3 linked regions of the Neodiprion lecontei genome follow. Each later gene encodes a partner of the first gene's protein in a complex. Links are inferred from orthologs where the notes say so. Each region holds a gene or a part of one and is shown in the gene's direction. Other genes may lie near its edges. The genes, in order: ATP-dependent RNA helicase me31b, maternal protein exuperantia and GRB10-interacting GYF protein 2.

Region 1 (6,212 bases):
GCTCTTTCTTCTTCGTAAAATCTTATCGCTTTGATCAAAGTGTTACTAGCCGGTAATCGCATTGTGGGAGATAAATCGACCGACTCGGGGTCGACGCACTTTCCGTCGGATGATTGATTATCATTTTTACAGCATTTCCCGCCCTCAGCGTTTATTTGTGCGTCGTTGATTTTTATAATCTCGCATCTTTCGATCAGTTCTTTGTCGGCATCGAAAACTTTCTTCCTTGCGTTCAAGTCACACAGGTAATTCGTTACCGTCGGCGCGCTTGCAATGACTGTAGACGTTGAAAGTACGTCGGCTGATTCACCGGAATCTATTAACTGCAGGCCTAGTTCTTCCGGAATTGATGTGTTCCATAACATGCTGTTATCTTTCTTAAAGCTGTATCGAGTTACGATTGAAAGTCTTGGACAAGTCCACATATTTATAGACTTTGAAGACACTTCTTTGCTTTGATTTTTTTTTCTGATATCAGATACTGTCGGCAACCACGACACGGAAAGTTCGTTCTCTACGAAAAATTGTGGAATATTATTGAAAATGGGTTGAAAAAAAAAGAAACAATTGATGCTAAGCATCACTGATCTTATAAATGATTAGGGTAAATTGGATCTTTCACAACATAATGGAACTTATCGCGAATGGTCGATTGCACAGTAACATTGTTGATGAAGAAAACAGTGGTGATATAACCTATAATCAAGAAAACGCAATGCGCTAGAGAAAATTTCGCGGGTTTGAGCTGGAAAATTAGCTACCCATATCGCATAATTTCTTCCCTGGAAATTGATCTCCACTTAACCCTGAAAATTTGCACCTACTCTTTAATAATGGTGAGTGGAATTTTGACGTTGCTCCAAGTTTTCTGTTGCGTTGGTTTTGTACGTAAAGAGTTACAGAAATGTACCATTTACAAACCTCGACTGGAACATGATCGGCGAGCAAAATTTTGCACCAATTAAGCAAACAATTTTTCAAAATAAAAGATGAAAACAATATTGAGTGATACATACCGTCATGTAAATTACTTGTTTTCTGATATCTTGTCATCGATTTAATCAGGCAGTGTGGCATGTTGTTTACGTTTGTTTATTATTCTTTTACAATATCAAGGAATGTATTGAAAAATTGCAATTATGTCAAATACACTATTTTCTGTAGAGTAATAAATCTGAAAACTTATTTGAACAAGTGATCCACTATTGGCGTGTTTCGAAATATTCTTCTTCAAGGCCATAGATACATTAATCCCGGACCGCATTGAGAAGGTTGCAAAAAAGAAACACCAGACAATCTGTACCCACGAGTGTGACGATGAGACATTGATTGACATGTCATGTGTCATTATCAATCCCGTCAAACTCTGTAACCTCGGAAGTTGGTACATCAGTCTACGAAATGGTAACCTAATAATAAGAGCCATGATACTTGTGTTTTAGTATGGTGATACGAATTCAAATTACCCATAAGCTTGATGCTTGCGTTACAAAGATTTACGCAAGGTATACTTTTCCGGGCTTGTTCGAAAATAGTTTGGTATTTCCAACCCTAAAAATTCCTTAGAAATGAGACAGAGTAAGCAGGCGATCTGGTAGAGCAAAAAAATCATGAAACTACTTTCACTGCCCAGCGAATACTGGGCAGCTGATCTCTTCTTCCGCTCTCGAGTAATTTGATTCATTTCACTCGACTCAACGGATCAGTTAGTGTTTCACGGATCTATAAATTTTGAAGCGTGCTTTGAAGTATCTCTAAAATGTTGTGAAACGTGTGAGGCTGGGACAGGGAGTAAGAAGGAAGGAGACCGATCTCCATGCTGCAAAACTGGCATTGATTTTTAGGTCTCTACAGCAGAGAGAACTGCCAGTACTTAAAATTCCCTAGGGCAGAGACAGAGCTGTCCATGAACTCGGCAGCGCAAAAGAGATGAAAGATTGCTGACAGTACTGTCCACGGTCTTACATACAGGTCCGGAAACTAGTAGGGTGGGGAATGACTCAGATAATGAGGAAGAACCGTGGTTCCCGTCTTCGCCGTCTGCAGCGCTGCCCCCTCGGGGTGAGCCAATCATAAATCAGATCCGAACAGCTGATTTTTCGGAATCAACAATCCTGAATTTGTTACACCGTTTACACACTTTACACTGAGTTATGAACTGTCAAAAACTTCGACGAGCAGATCATCTTATCGGTATATATCTATATTTATTATACCCCGGGCCACTGGCGCCCCTAGCGGATAGATAGGAAACAAGACCGTGTGCCTTACTAACGGTGACACCCCCTACCACTCAAAAGTGCTGGAGTTACCAGACCTGTATGTAAGATCGTGGTACTGTCAGTAAATTTTCGAACACGGCCCTGGTGTCGCAGCGATAATCTTTCACTCTGTTGTTACTGGTTTCGTGGAACGCCACGCACCGAGCGCCACAAGGCAACCGCTTGTGTTCCGAAAGTGTTTTTATTCTTTTCACGGCACACATCGTGTTACATTCAAAGATAATAATTATTGGCTCGCAATTGACGCAGTGCGTTCATTGTTAAAGTTATTGTAAAAACAATATACCAGTAGCGTCGTGATACAATCCCGTGTAATATATATCCGAAAGTAGAAGGTTATTGTGCCACGGAAGGGAGCCAGGCCGCACAGCCGAGATTATAAAAAGTTGACATTGGAACGGCCATTTTGGCGTGTTGTTTCCGAATCGAGTGCTGTGTTTCAGCATCGATATCCATCAGTTTGAAGGTAAGATACACCTTCTCTCACCTCATTCTATGAACCGTATTATGGAGTTTGAGCCACATTTCTGACTTAAGTTCATAATACATCTTGTTTGGACTCATCAATTATTTATTTCGGTTTATAAATCAAAGTTCAAAGAACTCTGCGCCAGTTACGGTACAATGGATCCAGCTTGGCATAAGATTTTCGCCCGCGATATTCTATTCCGTATTGTTAGTACTTGGTGAAATTTTTCTCACCGTTATCAGCATCTACACAAATATTTCAATTCATGATTATACGTGTACACCTCGTATCTTGCTTGGTTAGATTATATATTTAGAGAATTCTGAGCGAAAAGAGAAAAAGAAGAGAAACCTTCGGTTGGCATGGCATAAAGCCTCGTTTATACACCCGTTTGGCACTGCGGTGGCTTAGTAAATTCATAATGGAGGATGTATATACCAGTTTTGTTGATACACCGTACACATCGGTATATTCATCGTTTTTTATTTGCTCAAATAGCTGGCCTGTAGCCACATGATTTTTTTTACCGAAAAAAGCACAGTCGGTTCATTTTCAAACATAGTAAAATAACGGCAATCGAATCAAGCGTAGAGAGTAATAAAATTATCATATACTTGTTATTGGCAATCTAAAAAGAAAAAATTTCAAATTTTATTTGAAAATTATGAAAATCATTCAGCTATATTTTATATGTTCAGCCATGTACTGTTCAAGGTACATTTCAAACCGACTGCTCGATCTTTGTACTCAGCGAAGCTTGACAATATAAACACATTTTTTCAGCAACAGCGTATGTGTACCTTGAATTGAACTAGTATTCACAGTTTGTGTATTTCTTGTTCAGTTTTGAAATTTTTTTTCGTAGCTCAAAGTACAGCTTAGCGCTATACACACCTTAGCTTTTCTTTGTTTTGCCATACATTCAGACATTTATGATCACGGTCTTTTGCAATACATGAATCTTATATATTGAGAATTGTTTCTCCCTTCTTTTCTCTTGCCATTCGAGCTCTCTTGCACATTCCCTCCCTTTTATTTCTATCTTACTTTATTTCTATCATGAGCTGCTTCATTTTTTGATTTAGTTTCTTTTGTAATTATATAGTTGTTTTGGTAATACGATTAAATTTATATCAACCTCGTGCCAAATATTTTCAGCTAGTCTACACATATTTGTTGAATTAAAATTTACACTTGGTGTTAAAATGAACTCCTTGTACTCTGAATTTTTCACGTTGATTGTGAATATTGTTATTCTTTTAAAGCCATTGTCAAGTACACGTCCTGCTGATAACGCCTACTGTAGATAGCTGCAATGTTTCGATAAAATTCGCAGAATGTACGGTTATTTCATGTTTCACAAGGCTTATTGTTCCGTGTGTCATCTTCAATTTCTATTTTTTGTATTGTTGAATTTCATTCTGAAATTAACAGTTCCTATTACAGGCATAACTTTCATAAATGTTTGTAACAGGTTGATGAAAATAGTAAGGAAATGAAGATGTGAACTTCCGAGGTTTAGGATCCGGGGTATACAAATAAAGTGGATTATGATTATAATTTCATCTTGAATTCTGTCTTTCAGGAAATTTGAGACACTCTAAAGCCTACGATATGATGACCGAAACTCATATTAATTCTAATCACATGCTGAATTCCGGCTTGGGTCCAAAAGGTGATCTAGAAAAGATGGACGATATAGGTTGGAAAGCAAAACTGAAAATTCCGCCCAAAGACAAACGCATCAAAACAAGTGTGAGTCAAACTAAACTAAAATTCAAGATAATAGCTGTTGTAAAGACACTTAAATTGATTTGGTAATGCCAACAGTGCTCATTCAGAATCATGGTTCATAAAATTACTAGGAATATGGAAACGGTTGTAATCAATCTTAGTGTCTGACAATTGGAAAATGATGTAAAATTAGACCTTGATAAAAAAAATTTATTTTGGCTAGTGAATGATACACCAATCTCCTAAAATTCCTTCAAGAATACATAAAATTGAGGAATAACACACTAATTATAACATTAGATTACTTTCTTCATAAACATTTTGAACTATTAGCAGTTGAAAAATTTTCTCCTAAACTAATATAATCAGGCATTACTTGTGATGCAAATCAAAGCTACAAGACTTTTTTTTTGTACATCATAGGATGTTACGGACACACGTGGAAATGAATTCGAGGAATTCTGCTTAAAGCGTGAATTGTTGATGGGAATTTTTGAGAAGGGATGGGAAAAGCCATCCCCGATACAAGAAGCAAGTATCCCCATAGCTCTTTCTGGCAAAGATGTACTTGCACGAGCTAAAAATGGTACAGGCAAGACTGGTGCATATTCAATTCCTGTATTAGAACAGGTAGGAAAAGATAAACAAAGAGACATATAGAAAGTTGTTCGAATTTCACTACTTTAATTATTGCATCTTGCAGGTGGATCCACGTAAAGATGTTATTCAAGCATTAGTGATAGTTCCTACTAGAGAATTGGCTCTGCAGACATCACAGATATGCATTGAACTTGCAAAACACATGGACGTCAAGGTCATGGTTACCACTGGAGGAACTAATCTGCGCGACGACATTATGAGGATTTACCAAAAAGGTTAGCGTTTGTTGAATAGTCCGTAATAGTCTGGAAATCTGTTGACAACCAGGGCTTGTTCATCTTCTCTAATAGAAGTTGAAACAGAATTGGTCTTGTACATTGTTCTGTTTTGTCGATTTACCCAATTACGCCATTCTCATACATTCAGACCCAATGTATTAGATTGCTTTTGTTGATTGTAGATGAATTTCCTTCTTAAGATTCCTAATTTATACGCACTTATTGAAATGTACTTTTCCAGTGCAAGTAATCATTGCGACACCGGGACGTATCCTTGATCTGATGGATAAAAATGTTGCAAATATGGATCACTGCAGAATCCTTGTATTGGATGAAGCTGACAAGCTTCTATCCCAAGACTTTAAGGGGATGCTGGATCACGTTATATCCAGGTATAAACTGTTGCAAATGTGGTCCAATCGCATTTTGGTTTTTCTGGATTCAACTAGAAACGAAAATTACAAAATTCTTTACATCTGTGTTTATAGATTACCACAAGAACGTCAGATTCTATTATACTCTGCTACATTTCCCCTAACCGTAAAGCAATTCATGGAAAAGCATCTGAGGGACCCATATGAAATTAATCTGATGGAAGAGTTGACATTGAAAGGAGTGACACAATATTATGCTTTTGTACAGGAACGTCAAAAAGTTCACTGCCTTAATACGCTATTTTCTAAGGTAAAACTCCCTAAATATCAAAACAGATATGGCAGAAATTAATATTTGAAATTCGTACTTGTCCGTTTTTCGTGTAATTGGTTCATTTCCGCATTTTCCAACTATGGCCGTTAGTAATGTTCTTCAATCTCAAATAACTATAAATCAGGTGACTGAATTCTTATG
Region 2 (8,798 bases), on another chromosome or scaffold:
GCCGTTTCCAATTTTCTTGAAAATTCTGAAAAACTTCATTCTCATCGTGTATTTTATACTTGCATAATTCATTCATCTCAAATGAAACCCTGTCTCTGAAAGTGTAATTATATTTCCGATTGATTGCGGTGATATAATCAATGATGTAAAATAACTAAAAAATCAAAAACACAGGAGTTTGAATCGAATCAAAATACCCTTGAAAAACACAGCTACGTTCAGTATCGAAATCTAGTGATATTACAACAATTCTTGCTAAAAATTGCCAACTTTTACACAGACAACGGTTATAAACGTCGAGGAACAAACTAAAATTGATTATAACCAAAAAGGATATCCCAGGACGTCCATCCGTCACAGAGTTGCGCAGTGTATACCGTTAAATTAAAAACTAATTGGATTGCATGCCACCGCGGAGGGTATAACGGTTAGAATAGTTAAAATTAAATGGGATAATAAAACGAATGTCATATCGAGATAGAAGGGCGGGCAATCCATGATTGTTCGAAGGCAAATTGCGCCCCATTTATCAGCGTACCAAAATAGCGGGACTGCATTCAAACACGGGTGAAAATTTATTCGCATAATTCTGCCTTACACGTTACCGAAGAAAAAAAAATCTACAAAGAGCTTTTTCTCTATACGCTACATATTTTCTAATTATATTGACACGTTAAATCTGATTCTCTTATATTTTCTACATATTTTCAGGCCTACTATACAAAGCCATGACGTCACTTTATTGTTTCACCAATATCAAATTATCGCATTATTTGAAACAAAGTATAGAGCAAGTAACCATAATCAAAAGGCAATATAGTACTAGATTTTCTGGTCATAGGTACTAAACCAATTTACACTTTGTACCCAGAACTATATTTTTTATACATAGTTCAGAGCGAATCACACCTATTTTTTATTGTTTTTTTTTTTTTTTTTTTTTTAAATACATGAAGTACAATTGATTTTTGTGAGCTAAATTCTCGGTTTTAAGAATTTAGCTAGAGATGAAATTATACTTCAGGCTCTTTAACTGTCATTTGATTTGGCGTACAAAAACGTTTCATATACAATTACATATTGTGAAAATCAGTGCGGTGCCGAAATAAAATTATCATTCTGCCTAACGGCGGACGTTTTGATTCTGTGTGAAAGTTCGAATCCACCTGACGAACTTTGAGAATGAGAAAAAAAAAAAAAAAAAACAATGTTTTCCTCGACATCGTGAACCAGAAATTGTCGGTCGTTACTTCATGCAAAAAATTTGTTACCAAAAATATTGTTATCCACGTCAAATAACAAACATTAGTATAATATAAATATAAAAAAAAATTAGTTATAGTGTATACACGTATTGCAGAAAGAAACGGTTATGGTCTGCTCATACGAATAGAAAAAATATAATAATTATACGCTGCACTAGGAATTTCTCTCGGTGGGAAGATTCCTTTGTTTATGACGATGTAAAATTTAAGTACTCGCAAGGACTTTTTCTCGTCGATTCATAGTCAAACTAATATTTCTTTCACCTATGAAGGGGTATGACATCGGGGTATGCTTAGCGTCTCTTCCACGTACTTGACCTGCTTGTTTAGGCCATCGAAGAGGAGGAAATTTACGACCCTGAGGCGACGACACCCACCACTTTTCAGGCCTCTTCTAAGAACATGCCTCGAGCTCCTTGGACTTGGTCTATTTTATGGTGTTTTAAACTGAATCTGTTCACCGCGCTATTTTCCGGGCTAAGTGGAGTTTTCATATAACTCCATTAACGTGTTGAAACTTAACAGATGATGCCGAAAAGAAACTTCGCATCTTTAACTTGAAGATTTAACTGTCGAGAGGAATGACTTTTGTTATTGACATTCGTCTGCAAATTTTTATGAAAAATCATATCAAAACGATTCTCTCGGTAAACTCCATTTGACTTCTTATCAACCCTCTATATTATCAGACATAACAATATCTACAGAAATACTAAAATTTACTGAAACATTTTTCTTTGAAAAACCATTTGATTTTAAAACTGAAATTTTTTGCAACCGGGTAAAACTCTTCGGATATAATGGAGGACTGCAAGAATTCTGTTTTATCGCTCGTAAATGTCGCATATTTTACAAAATTATTTACTGCTTACATGTTATATTTTTCATAACGTTCTGGGGTTGGTTTTACGACAGCTTAGAAATGGAAATAATAATACATAAAGCGCGATTTCGTTATATTCATTTTCTATTGAATCCGTCCAACCTGTGATAAAAAAAAAAAATAATGACAGCGCTTGGATGATAAAGAAGAACTTTCGGACCGGCGCAATGTGAATCGAGCAAAAATTTGTACGGAAATTATCCGCCATAAAACGCAGCATAAGCAATATATCACAGACCAGAACGAAGCGGCAGCGTAGTCGGCCATGGTCCGAAATTAAACACCCACGGACTGTTCGGTTTATCCTAAACGGTCGAGAGTCGCGTAAGCTTGTGGGTTCCGATCTTTATTTATAAATTTGATTCATGCCGCGTCACGGCCACGTGACGCACTCGACGAAATTGAAGCGAGGATCGACACCTCAATCTCGATACTCGACGCACTTCAAGTGAATGCATCCGGCACGCGATTGGCCATTGCCGATGTGCCAGCGCTGCGATTAGTGGATGAAGAGCGCCTGCGCAACGCGGCGATTATACTCGCTTGCCACTTCGGTACACGTGCGCAGCTCTCATCGTGTATTTCGCTTTAGGAATCAGCAGACTATAGAGTCTAGAAGCCAGTGGGTGAGCAGTCGAGTGTCGTCAGGCAGCCTTTCCTGGAACCGAGATTACGCGCCGCACGTAACGCCGCAGAGCTCCGAGCCACCCTTCGCACCAGGATAAATTAAACTTAAGCCGAGGGTAAGTCCCTGCGATATAATAAGCCTCATTTAGGGCGGGGCCTTTCCGCCAGTTCGGCAAAGATGGTAGCCCTGACTGCCGGCCACGTGTGGATTCATTTTTGTCACCGAAAATCGAAAAAATCCCCGAGCGCTGTTCTGCCGGGTTCCGAGCATTCCCGGAACTTCGCCAAACTTCGCGCCGCATCAACAACGTGAACAAATGACTGGCTCGTCTCACAACGCAACGAGCATTTCCCTGTTCGCGATCTCTTCCGTCATCCGCGAGCCCCGCAAAATCGTGAAAATCTGTTCATTTTAATCTCACAGTTTTGACCCCGTTCATTTATTCCTTCGTCGACGTTTATCCGTTCATCTCTGCTAGTCCGGCGGCGATATCTCCGCCTACGAATAGGCGAGTCAACGAGGTATCGACGATTCCGATACACGTAAATACGGCCTTTTTATCCTTCTCTCTTGTTTACTATCTGATGAACCGAAAACAAAGACCTTTGTTTGAATTATCTCAAGCACACTACGCTAATCTGGAGGTTAATCCCGTTGTTGTGACAATGTCAAGTGCCAGGTTTTTTCACGCATTTTTTTTTTTCGTTTTTTGCCTGACAACGATTCTCACTAACACGAATTTCAGCATCATTTTTCCTTGTTCTTTCCGGTGTGACTCTTCCTGGCGTAATAATCAACTCTCCCATTTCCTCTGGGTTTCAGATAAGTGATATTGAGATACAGCAAATATGGTGTCGTCAACCGTAGTCGAGAATGGCGAAACAATCGCCCCGGTGGTAAGTTCGTCACCAGCTGTCGGCGTGCCGCCTGGTGATTATAGGCTCGTAGGATGGGACATGGACGCCACTGGCAGGAGACTGATCGACGAGATTTGCCAAATTGCCGGGTATACGCCGAGTTCCAGCTATGGCCAGTACGTCATGCCTTTCAAGGACCTCAATCCACCTGCCAGAAAGAGGCACAATATTAGAGTTGTTACCATCGGAAAATACCGAATGCTCAAGGACAACAAGACAAACAAGGTGATGATACCATAAATAGAGCAGTTACACTTATCCTTGTGCACATATTGTTTCTATTCATTTGCAGAGCAAACAGGAACTGTAATCCTCGCTGAATATTTTTATCTCACTTTCTCTACGCATCGTTGTTGATTTCGTTGATGGAAAAATTGAAAGAACTCAGATGATGCATTAACGATCTACTTCGGACCAGAATTTAACACCAATATCAATATATTACAATGTTTCATTTTTCTATCATCTTATCTAGTTTTTCTTTGCTGAGATTAGCATTAGTAAACAAACATTAGTAAATTTCATATCGTTGTAAAATCTGAAAATTTGCATTATTTGAAAAGTAGTAAATACGTTGCAACATGTTTTTCGATGCGGATAAATTTTTTTTTTTTTTCTGTCATTGTCACAGGTCCTAAAGACGAAAAGTGAGATATCTGCGCTGATAGATTTTATCACGTGGCTTGAGTCGGTCAAGGGAGATGCGGCCGATGGTGTGATTCTAGTTTATCATGAGCCACGCAAAGTCATACCTTCCATGCTGCTTGAATCGCTGAGGAAATTCAACCTTTTAGATCGATTCAAGCAAACCGTTAAGGGCTTCGCTAACGGGTTTAACGTTGCAGAGGTCAAATGCGCCGATACAGTACGCACATTTTCCCTACGCACATTATCGCGTGTTATGCTAGACAAGGTAAACCCTGCATTTTCTAATGCTGATTATAAAAACAATGATCATATCTGCAGATACAGATTTCAAAAACGCTAAGAATTTGATGATATCTTCCAATCATCCGTTAGTTTTCATGTAATCAACTAATTGGGAAAAGGAAAATTACGTCGATCTCTTAACTAATATCAATATCGTATTTGAATTCCAAGGAAGAAGAGTTAGACAACGCCGTTGATAGAGCGCGTCTAGCTCTCCAAGTCATACAGCACTTGAGCGCTGGTGAAGAAACTGCAAAGGGCGCCGAGAGTAGCGGAAGTGGTGATAGCGACGCCGCGACAAAAGGGACCATAGAACTAATAAGAGAATTCGTACAGCCAACGCATGTCGAAGAAAAGGAATTAGCTGGTACAAAAGCACAAAATTTCCCTACAGATATCTTTCATTGGTTAAGGATATAAGTTGATGGCTGAGAAGGTGGGTAAATTTTGAGAATTTATATCTCAAAAACCAATAATTCAATTCGATTGTTTTTATTCAAAAGTATGTAGATCAAACTTCATTTACATATTTTTGTCACTTGGATCAATTAATAGCCACCATTGTTATTGACAATAACATCAATGATTTGACTCTGTGACATGTTTTGCTTTGCCCACGATGTGTCAGAAACGGCTTAAACGATTTACCTCAAATTTTGAAACCGTATATTCTTGAATAGTTTATCCTGTTTGCAACAATCTGAAATTTTTTTCAACTAAATGGCAAGCGTTTGAAATTGTCATTAGATTTTTGCCGAAAATTTACCAGTATTTTATATAAGTAAGAAAAAAAAAGATGTTTAAACGTAAGTAGGAACTTTGCAAAGAGGATAAACTATCCAGGAATATTGTCTTCGAATTTGAAGTAAATAGGTCGAGCTGTTCTTGAGATATCTTGGGCACCACAAACATGTCGCCGGGCCAAACGGTCGACGTTATTTTCAAAAATACTTCAGCAAAACTCGATCTACTTAAACTTTTGAGTAAAACAAACCCCAAATGAATAGAATACTTGGTTGTCAAGACATAAATTCCCAAAGTTTACAAAATTTTTCAGTCCTACTTGTGATTAGTTTTTGAAAAGATGACCAAGGAAATAGATACATGATTGGAAAGAATTTGACAAATGTATTCGTGTTACAGGTTTGAAATTGGTCCTCAATCGTCAAAATAGTCTAAGACCTGTATTCGGAATGCTACTGCGCCAAAGTCGCCGCGAACGACAACATGCTAGCCTCTTACGCCGATTATTAGCCGAGGCTAATGTCGACTACGTAGAACTGCAGGTGAGTCATAATTTTAGGATTCAAATTTCTCACGAAATTTCGATAAGGAACTAATACGGTAATAGAAGTAAACCAACAATTTTCGAATTTCGATTTCTGGCTGTCTATTTGACCTCTTCGAATAAATTCTCTATAAATGTTAAACTTCTTCGATGAAATTATGCAAATTAACAAAAAATTCGATGCGACCAACTCGATTATATGCATGAATGCTTCATGGTCGCTCTTACTTTGCTGATAACTCAAGTTTTTGTACATTCTTATCAGTTTGTTGGTTCTACGCACATGTACCTTTTCTTTGACTGAGTCACATTGTTTTTGTTTGTAATCAACAGTCGAGTGAGAGCTTCTGAATTTTGTACCCACTAATGAGGTATCTCTTTAACTCGATTGTGATTTTCAATAATTTTAGGAAGTATGGTCGAACGAGAAAAGGGAGGGTTTGCAAAAATTAATAAAAGAGAAAGTAACAGGAGCGAAGGAAAATGAGGAAGAGGAACTGTTGGAGGTACTCGAGTGTCACTTTGACCCAGAAAAAAAGATGAAGCCGAAGTTAAGTGTAGAAAAAAAAGAAGGAAAGAAAGGAAATATTGGCAAAGGTGCAGTGGAATCTAAAGAGAACATCAAAAACGAATCCGCTACCGAGAGTCCAGATACAACAACAACAAGTTCTCCTTTGAAAGAGAAACTTGTACCCCAGGAAAATGCTGAGGTAAAAGCTTCGGATGTGAAATGCGAATAAAATCAAAATATCCTGATGCCAGTGCCTTATTTCAAATACAGAATGAACATTTTTGTTCTTGAATTTCCTACATTGGTATGATAATATTTAAAAACTAAGTGAAAATGTTGATAAAAAAAAAAGAAAAGATATACTAAGAAAAGAAAAACGGCAGATGAGGTTAGCTTGTTATAGAGTTTTATTTAGATTTCTCGTGATATTCGAACAGGTTTGTCAGTCCTGGAGACTACAATGTCCGGTTCGATTCATATAGTACTATATTATATTATATTATTTACTTTAGTTCGTCACAAAATGAACGTATTATTTTTTTCGTTTTTTTTTCTGTTTATTATCTACCGAGTTTATGTTGATTTATTTTTTTGTATTACTCAGTTTTCTATCTAAATAATAAGATTCGTTTAATCTCCTTGTGGAATTACGTTGGGGTCACAAAATTAACAAATAAATAAATAATCCCAATGTAAAAAATTTATACTTATATCGCACTTGATGATTGAATTATCGATTTATTGTTGTCATTATAAATACATTGGATAACTTCTGTGCATAACTAAAATTGCAATTATTTAATTTTTTTAATTTTTTAATTTTCTTTTTTTTTTTCTTTTTCTTTTTTTTTTCTTTTTCTTTAAAGTATAAACTGGCGGAACATTCATGCTGCGTCAATAAAAAAAACAAAGCAAAAAAAACGAAAAAACTACAAATAAAACGAGCAAAAAAATAATATAAACAAGGTGCATGATAATTACAGGATTACTAAAAGTAAATAAATGAAAAAATAAAAAAAAAACTTACTTAAATATTCACGACTTGAAAAGCAATGAGGATAATTGTTGATTAATTCATCATACCGTGCTAGTTACGTTAGGATCTCATTGTATTATTAATATAATTAAAAAAAAAAATGTTAATAAATATATAATTTTGCAATTGCATACTTATCATTATCAAACGATGCCACTTCAAATTTGAAACGAAAATAGGGAAACCATCGTTTTTCCCAACATTAAGTATCAAGTTCTACAGTGTATCATAAGACTAATAATTATGATAAAAATAGTGGTATGAACATTCACGATTGAAAGAGAAAAAATTTATTCACTATTATCTCTGCACGTGCCGTGTTTAAAGTACAAAGGAATCTTAGAACTATTTTTTCTCTACAGATTGTGAGGATAAAACTCCATGTGCTTGATATTTAGAAAACAAGGTCTCCGATTCTTTGACAACAAACGATAAAGTAGCTTTAGAATAATATTCTCCCATCAGTTCAATGTTGTTAATGACTGTGGACAGCAGATGAGCCTTTTCAGTGAATATACCTGTAAAAATGGGCGGACATAAATATTTGACAATACAAAGAAATACAGTGAAAGTGCAAGATAAGGTTTACCTGGAGCGTCATATTTCAAATATGTGAAATGAATGTGAAGATGATAAAACGAGGGTTGATAGTGAAAATAAATTCTAAGCTGCGATGCTGGAAGTCCGCTGTATTTCTTAGAAATTGCTTTTGTGCCGGCGTCGCGAATGTTCTTAAGCAACGGCAAATGCGATTGGTCCAAATCTCTAATTGATTTGATTCCCTTTAGCATCGGAATTGCCAAGAGGTACAAAGTTTCCAGACTTCCGTCCCATTTCAAATCTGGTATCAAAACAAAGCCTGTTTTTGGGTCTGGATCCTCAAAGACTATTCTTTCTTTCTCGGCCTTGTGCTCCAAAATGTTATACACCCACTGTAGACAAACATTAAGGGGTTAATATGAGTTAAACATTTGCTCAAGAAAGTGGTGCAATGAAAAAAATGATGAAAAGGTCAGCGCTGTAAGTAAAAAACATTATAACATTAATAACAACTTTAGAAAGATCACATTATTGCAATGATGTAGACGATGCTAAAACATTTTGTCCGTTCAATTTTCATGTATGAAAGATCAATTTGTGCATAAATGAGTTTTCTAAAAAAACACTCAAGACAGATTTGTTATAATAAAGCGTAAATTTACTGCTCGTGTAAAATGAACCCAACACTCATTTACATTACTGATGTTGCAGTGTTCGTTGCGTAACTTTCTTCCATTCATCAAAGGTCAACTAAAGTTATGTATTTACATAGAAAATACCTGCAGCGAAAATTGTTCCTT
Region 3 (6,322 bases), on another chromosome or scaffold:
TATGATTCCCATGACTTGAAAAAACATATTTTTATATTATATATTACTGATGGAATTGATGTCATGTAAATATTTGCATACCTTTGGACGACGGAATATTACTATAATTTTCTAGCTCCATCGCGGCGTGAACACGTTTCATGCGTTCAGCGGAATATAAAAATAGAAAAGATCATATAGAGTGATAATAACTATTGTGATTATTGTTCACGAAATAATTAAAAGCAAAAGTGGCGCGATAAATACACAAAATTAACATGTGAAAAAAAAAAAACAATTTCCGGCCGCAAGTTCTCAGCGACTGATTTTTACCGCATGTGCTGAAAATCTTAACCTCAAATGAAAATATCTGTACTGAACGCACTCGCGTATTTCATAAAATGTCGGGGCCTTCCAACCACTAATTCCAACTAAGATGTGACAAATCTTATCTAAGGATTCGTCGAACAACTCTTATTTTCATATATTCACTACGGATAAGTAATTATTTTGTGCTTGAGTCATCGGTAATGTCTTCATTCCCCCGATCGGTAATGTCGTGGTCGTCTGTTAAAGTGCTAAGTGCAGAAGTGCTTCCAGAGATTCGAGATGCGTTGATCTGCCGCCAACTTCACTCACTACCCACGAGCGACACTCAGTGTCGCCAATTTAGTGATTTTGTCGTTAGTCTGGAGTTTTCGAAGGTTTCTCTCTGCTTATTGTACTGCCAGAGAGAGGGATTGCAATATTTATTTACATCTAAATTAACCTTTTTCATCTATCCACGATAATCTTACCCTCTAGAAATAATTTCATGCTACTAAAGCCACAACTTGTAACCGTTTTTACGAGAAATCGAAACATCGTTCGTTACTAGAGAAATTGCAGCGGCTCAGATTTAACGAAATCTGAATTACGGAAATGGCAGAAGGTTACGGACGAGACACACCTCCGATATATTCGGGAACTAACGAAGAACCTCGATCAGCTGGGCAACCTTTATCCGATTTTCTACTGCAACTTGAAGATTATACTCCGACTGTACGTAAGTCGCTCTATGATATTGGAAGAAGTTATATCTTTGTAAAACAAGCAGTTTATTTCAGGTTCCAGATGCGATCAGTGCTCACTATCTCCATACAGCTGGTTTCAACACGACTGATCCAAGAATGTAAGAGTAAAACGAGAATTATTCGATAGATATTTTATTATTTATTGGTTTGTAATTGCTCATGGAACAATTCTATTCTCCTTGTTTTAGTGTCAGGTTAGTTTCGTTAGCAGCTCAAAAGTTCATCTCTGAAATAGCTAACGATGCGTTACAGCACTGTAAGACGAGAGGAGCAAATCAAAATACTAAGACGAAAGGAAAGGATCGCCGCTACACGTTAACAATGGAAGACCTGACACCAGCTGTTGCTGAATATGGCATAGTGGTCAAGAAGCCGCACTACTTTGTCTGATTTATAATAATGAGTCCCTTTATCAGAGAGAAACTTAATTCTATACTGTATCTGAATGACTTCTCAAAGGTGTGGATTTCTAAAAAAATTCTTTCATGCAGTTTGCTTAAGCTCAAATGATTCACTCTTAAATAGCCGGTTGCACAGATCTGGAAAAAAGAACGTTTTATTGTTACTATTCTTTGTAACGACTTAAAATCCCTTTGAATAAACTGTCTTAAAATATAAGAGTCTCTTTCTTACCCTTTAGACACAATTGCAAAGAGAAATTAATTACCATTCAGATTTATAGTACTACAAATCGATACGATGAAAATAATAGCTGTTTTCGATTTCAAAACATAATCCGTAAATCTGTCGGTATCAGTTGAAACTTTCTTAAATTTTTCCTAATTTTTACAGCCAGCTTTAACCATATATGGCTTTAATCAGGAGTCGGTTAAGTCAAAGAGTCGGAACGGTAAAATAACTTGGTCGGTTGAAATGAATGTCTGTGTTGGAAAGTAATATATCAGACCGATATTTTCGTCACAGTTGTAACGTACATTAGGACATAAGTAAGTGGAAGGATTAAAATTGATGATATAATCTGTCAAAAAAAAATTGATAAACAAACCGGAGTCGGGTTGAAATGAGTTCCTATGTCTGGGTTTATTTTACTTGCCACATTTCGAAAACAAAAGAGTTGAAGAACTCGGTAACGACTCGGTATTCAAAGGTCAGCCAATCTGCAGTTTTTTCTTCAAAACTTCCGTTTAGGCAAATAAAAGGTACTTTTTAAAAGCAGGAAGCAAAAGATCTTCCGAGGTCTTCCACTTTCGTACAAGTGGCGCCTTGTACGGGGATTTGGGTTTGGCTTTAAATCTCTGATCACGTGACAAAAAACACTACGCATGCGTTCAGCGTTCTATCTCAAAAAACCCATCGGCCATATTGGTGTGTTGTTTCATTCGCCCAATAATTCCGAACCCCAATAAGGTATTTCAATAATTTATATAGCAAACTAGACGCTACTGGCAGTGAAATATTGCAACAAAAGCATTGGTGACAAACTTTTATCAAAGAATATGATGATCCGGTGGCATATCGTGATTTCTACAATCGAAAAAAGTTTGGTTAATATTGCCACCTTGGCTGCTGTGGGATACTACATGCATACATACCTACGTAGATTCTGCTCCGTCAAAAAATATGTCGTAAATAAACGGGAAGAATATTTCTGTTTTCGCGTCTTTCGATTCTGGTATTCGTTCCTTTCCGCGCAACGATATCGCAGTTTCATTTCCCGCTGCTCGACACTTTCGTGACGCTAATTTCGGCTCCTCTACGTTCTCCAGTCTGTTGCATCTATTGTATATTCTAGGTATATTCTAAATCATCTGTTTCGTGTTCTAATTCATCAATCCTTTCAAACGCGAAATCATCCCTATACGCGAATTACTCGAGCTTTAACCGCGTTATCGAATGTCCAGGGTGTAAGTAAAACAGAAATTGAATAAAAATTCTCAAAACGTGAAGTAACAGTTAAATATTATATTTTTAAAATCCGGATAAAGACTGTTATTTATTATTTACTATTGTATTTTTTCTTTGCTGACCGTTTGTGCCAAACAAATACATGTATTCATGCTACTTTATTTAATTTTTCAGCTAACTTTGCGAGATGACGGAATCAATGAGATTTGGTCCAGAGTGGTAAGTTATTCCCTAAAAAAATTTCGCTGGCGTTATGATTTGGCAGCAGATTTTATCATTCAGAATCTAAATTTTCATTAAAATTTTGAGATACTATCATTTATACAATTTTAAGAAATAAATCCTGCAAACAGATTCTTTGGCATTTAAAAAATTTTGATAATCTTGTGATTGGTATTTGATTAATCTAAGTGAAAAATTTCATTTTGAAGCGATGGTTTTATAACTATAAATGAATCTTTCTTTCACCATTGTCTGACATTTGCTTTCATTTATATGATGATTTTTAGATAACACTATACTTTGTCATTATTGAAAAGCCGAAAGTAAAGGTATTTACTCATCATAAAAAGATAGTGCATTTCACACTTGACATTTTTACTATGCAAAGTCAGTTAGAGACCTGAAAAGTACTTTAAAACCCACTTCCACTAAAAACTAATAAAGCATAAAAAATTCATAAGATACTCTGAAATTTTTAAATATTTACAATCAAAATTTTTGTGTACCATGAAAGACAACACGATCAAGTCAAAAAGTATATTCTGTCATTTGCGTAACAAAACGAGTTTCTTTTTTTCTTTAATCTTTTAGTCGCATCATTACGAACAACTGAATCTGAAAAATAATAAATAAAGTAGCTAAAGGATTAAAAGAGGAAGAAAGAATTGAATCTCGCACAATTTTATAATATATGTAGCGCATAAGTTATAGTTATCAATGTCTGCATGGTGAGCTATTCTCTGTTTCCCTGTTTTTTCCTTTCCTCACATCTCTCTGACAAAACTTTGCCGTTGTACAGGTTGCGCAACTTGTCAGGAGACGGTTGCAATACCAGCGGAGGAGGGGGAGGGCCTAGTATCCTGACCACCCCTCGTTACCAGCTAGCTGAGCATAGATACGGTCGAGAAGAGATGTTAGCTCTGTTTGACCGGAATTATAAAGCACCCGAACCACTCGCTTCTTTTCCTGCCCTCTACATTATACAAGCTCAACAACCGCTGGCACTCACACCAATGACAGAAGAAGAGGCGGTAAATGTGGTTGTTATTACTATCATCATATTTTTGATAATTTCTGCTCATTCCGCACATATACCTAACTTATTTCCTGCTCATCTTTTCTGTCCCAATGACTCGTTTCCTGTTAGAATCTCTTCTCGAAATTGAGAATCAGAAATGAAAAAAAAGTAAACACTAAGGTTACACACCATGCCAATGCATCTCATTGCAATATGCTTACTAGGAATATTTGCTTTGCTATCATTTTTGAAAATCTATCTTCGTTGTGTTGTGTCTTTTGGAATGTACAAGTACAACTTGAATCGGTCTGATGGTTATAACTTTAGAAAAAATTTTACAAGTAAGCAACTAAACTTTACGGGTAAATAGTAGAATCTTCGTGTAACTTTAACTTATGTTTCATTCAAAGCAAAACCTGGATTCATTATAATAAATAAAAGTAGATCTATTAACTTTTTTCATTACAGAAAAATGGTGATAATTATGGAAAATGTATATACATATATATGCGCACATTTTCCATATTTATCAACATGTTTCTGCAATGCAAAAAGTCAATATATCTACTAAATATATATACACCCACGCACACACACACACACACACACACATCATATACTATGAAATATTGCTGTGCTTGTGGAAAATTTGATAAAATCATTTACAGAAAACATCGAAATGACTTGTTAAAAAAAAAAAAAAAAAATAACAACAATGATACATGGCGTTAAATGGTAAGAAATGTAATGTTCAATGAGATTGAATTTGGTAAAAAGAATTCTTCTAATGCATATAATGATGTGTGACGTAATATTTAACATTCCATTTGCATATATATACGATGCTAAATATTTTCAAACTCGATATGACCTTGAACTTTGAATCACGGTATTTGTATTTGAGCAAACAAAATGTAGGTTGGATAAAATTGAAATTACGATTTTATGGATACTGCTACATGGCTTGGAAGATGTAAGAATATTTTTATTTCGAATAGATCGATATTTGACTAAAATGTAAGAAGAGATAGAATGCGATTCAATATGTGCACATACATATATTTTCGTATCGTCTTGTATTAGTGTCGTATCTTATATTGGGAACTGTGTCATTCTTGGTCGTGTTCTAAAAATATACAGCCACTCTCTGGAGCCCTTGCGCCAAACTTCCTGGCTTGTATAAGCCTCTGCACTTCAATTGCTTGGCCTTCCCTTGTCGTGAAAAAGATTCATCTCTATTGCGGTAATCGATATGTCCGTAGCCGAAGTTGATCAATTTTTATTCTGTAGCAACGAAGCGTTTGTAAGTTTATTACATAAAATCAGTGATAATGTGATAGTGAACCGCTGACTGCTACCGTTAAAGAGTTCACAGTTCTATATCGAAGACTCAGTATTATTAGAAACTTCTGCAACATACAGAGCCATAGGAAAAAATATTCAAATCGACTTTTTGAGACTATTCTATTTAAATACTTCATTGTAACAAAATCCTACTCAGTCTTACTCGGCCCCTTGTCGCTACTGGATCATGTTTCTGGATTAAAGAGTTTGAAAAACATAGGAACAAAACAAAAGTATATTATTAATCGCTTTCTCCAAAAAAAAAAAAAAAATATTGCGTACATTCTACTCAACTCCGGTAGACTATCATGCAGCTAACAAAACCAATACCGAAAGTAAATCCTTTCGTTATTCTCACATTCTTTACCCGATTACCAAAATAGTGTTGGAATGCTCTGATAGACTGTATCCGTCATTTCAGCGCTCCTGGAATAGTGGTTTATCAAACAATGGGGGCAGAGGGAGAGGGGGCAGCGTTGATCGTGGAGGACGGGGCAGAGGTGGGAGAGGTGGCATTTATCCGACTCATTACTCCCGAGGAGCCATCTTTGACGAGCCAGGCGATGGACCGAGAATTGAGCCACAACCTTTTCCGGTAGATCTCAGTTTTATTCTTAACAGAATAAATGAAGGTGTGTGACAATTCGGTAGCTGTGAACAAATGCCAATGATTTTGATAAGAGAATTTAATATCAAGTGTTTGCAACCTTCTAAGCTTCGAAGCAGTTTCATGGCACCGTTGATTTCAATTCTCAGGGGAGAACTAGACCATTCGACAGATCACAGAGTGAACGAGGTTGGTCGGAGAGAAATGGCGGAC

The links.
Region 2: ATP-dependent RNA helicase me31b (region 1) and maternal protein exuperantia share a complex: the UniProt entries of both Drosophila melanogaster proteins name them as parts of the osk RNP complex. The link is inferred for Neodiprion lecontei from reciprocal best matches to the Drosophila melanogaster genes me31B and exu.
Region 3: the proteins of ATP-dependent RNA helicase me31b (region 1) and GRB10-interacting GYF protein 2 are in contact, whole or in part, in a crystal structure (PDB 6S8R), measured with the Drosophila melanogaster proteins. The link is inferred for Neodiprion lecontei from reciprocal best matches to the Drosophila melanogaster genes me31B and Gyf. Residues at the interface, in NP_523533.2 of Drosophila melanogaster: Tyr274, Ala275, Phe276, Val277, Glu279, Arg280, Gln281, Lys282, Val283, His284, Cys285, Thr288, Leu289, Ser304, Thr305, Gln306, Arg307, Leu310, Leu311, Lys314, Glu317, Leu318, Phe370, Pro420, Ile421, Lys423; in NP_001162827.1 of Drosophila melanogaster: Glu344, Asn345, Pro347, Glu348, Trp349, Ala350, Ile351, Glu352, Pro354, Ser355, Lys356, Leu357, Gly358, Gly359, Ser360, Phe361, Asp362, Ala363, Ser364, Gly365, Ala366, Phe367, Gly369.

The regions. Positions count from the first base shown.
Region 1 is NC_060261.1:14,905,937-14,912,148, reverse strand, and holds the start of ATP-dependent RNA helicase me31b, read left to right. Parts: upstream 1-2,361; 5' UTR 2,362-2,748; intron 2,749-4,336; 5' UTR 4,337-4,365; coding exon 4,366-4,506; intron 4,507-4,908; coding exon 4,909-5,115; intron 5,116-5,188; coding exon 5,189-5,360; intron 5,361-5,604; coding exon 5,605-5,755; intron 5,756-5,851; coding exon 5,852-6,047; intron 6,048-6,212. Other genes in the region: zinc finger protein 2, read right to left, coding at 1-514, 1,017-1,077. UniProt on the Drosophila melanogaster protein: ATP-dependent RNA helicase which is a core component of a variety of ribonucleoprotein complexes (RNPs) that play critical roles in translational repression and mRNA decapping during embryogenesis, oogenesis, neurogenesis and neurotransmission.
Region 2 is NC_060266.1:19,232,596-19,241,393, forward strand, and holds maternal protein exuperantia, read left to right. Parts: upstream 1-2,707; 5' UTR 2,708-2,891; intron 2,892-3,071; exon of another isoform or gene 3,072-3,318; intron 3,319-3,598; 5' UTR 3,599-3,624; coding exon 3,625-3,918; intron 3,919-4,324; coding exon 4,325-4,606; intron 4,607-4,794; coding exon 4,795-4,990; intron 4,991-5,766; coding exon 5,767-5,909; intron 5,910-6,321; coding exon 6,322-6,651; 3' UTR 6,652-7,486; downstream 7,487-8,798. Other genes in the region: m7GpppX diphosphatase, read right to left, coding at 7,804-7,976, 8,048-8,390, 8,778-8,798. UniProt on the Drosophila melanogaster protein: Ensures the proper localization of the mRNA of the bicoid gene to the anterior regions of the oocyte thus playing a fundamental role in the establishment of the polarity of the oocyte. May bind the bcd mRNA.
Region 3 is NC_060263.1:40,977,613-40,983,934, reverse strand, and holds the start of GRB10-interacting GYF protein 2, read left to right. Parts: upstream 1-2,235; 5' UTR 2,236-2,420; intron 2,421-3,092; 5' UTR 3,093-3,105; coding exon 3,106-3,137; intron 3,138-3,939; coding exon 3,940-4,171; coding exon of another isoform or gene 4,172-4,180; intron 4,181-5,923; coding exon 5,924-6,134; intron 6,135-6,217; coding exon 6,218-6,322. Other genes in the region: uncharacterized protein C1orf50 homolog, read right to left, coding at 82-142; transcription initiation factor TFIID subunit 10, read left to right, coding at 901-1,020, 1,086-1,150, 1,241-1,442.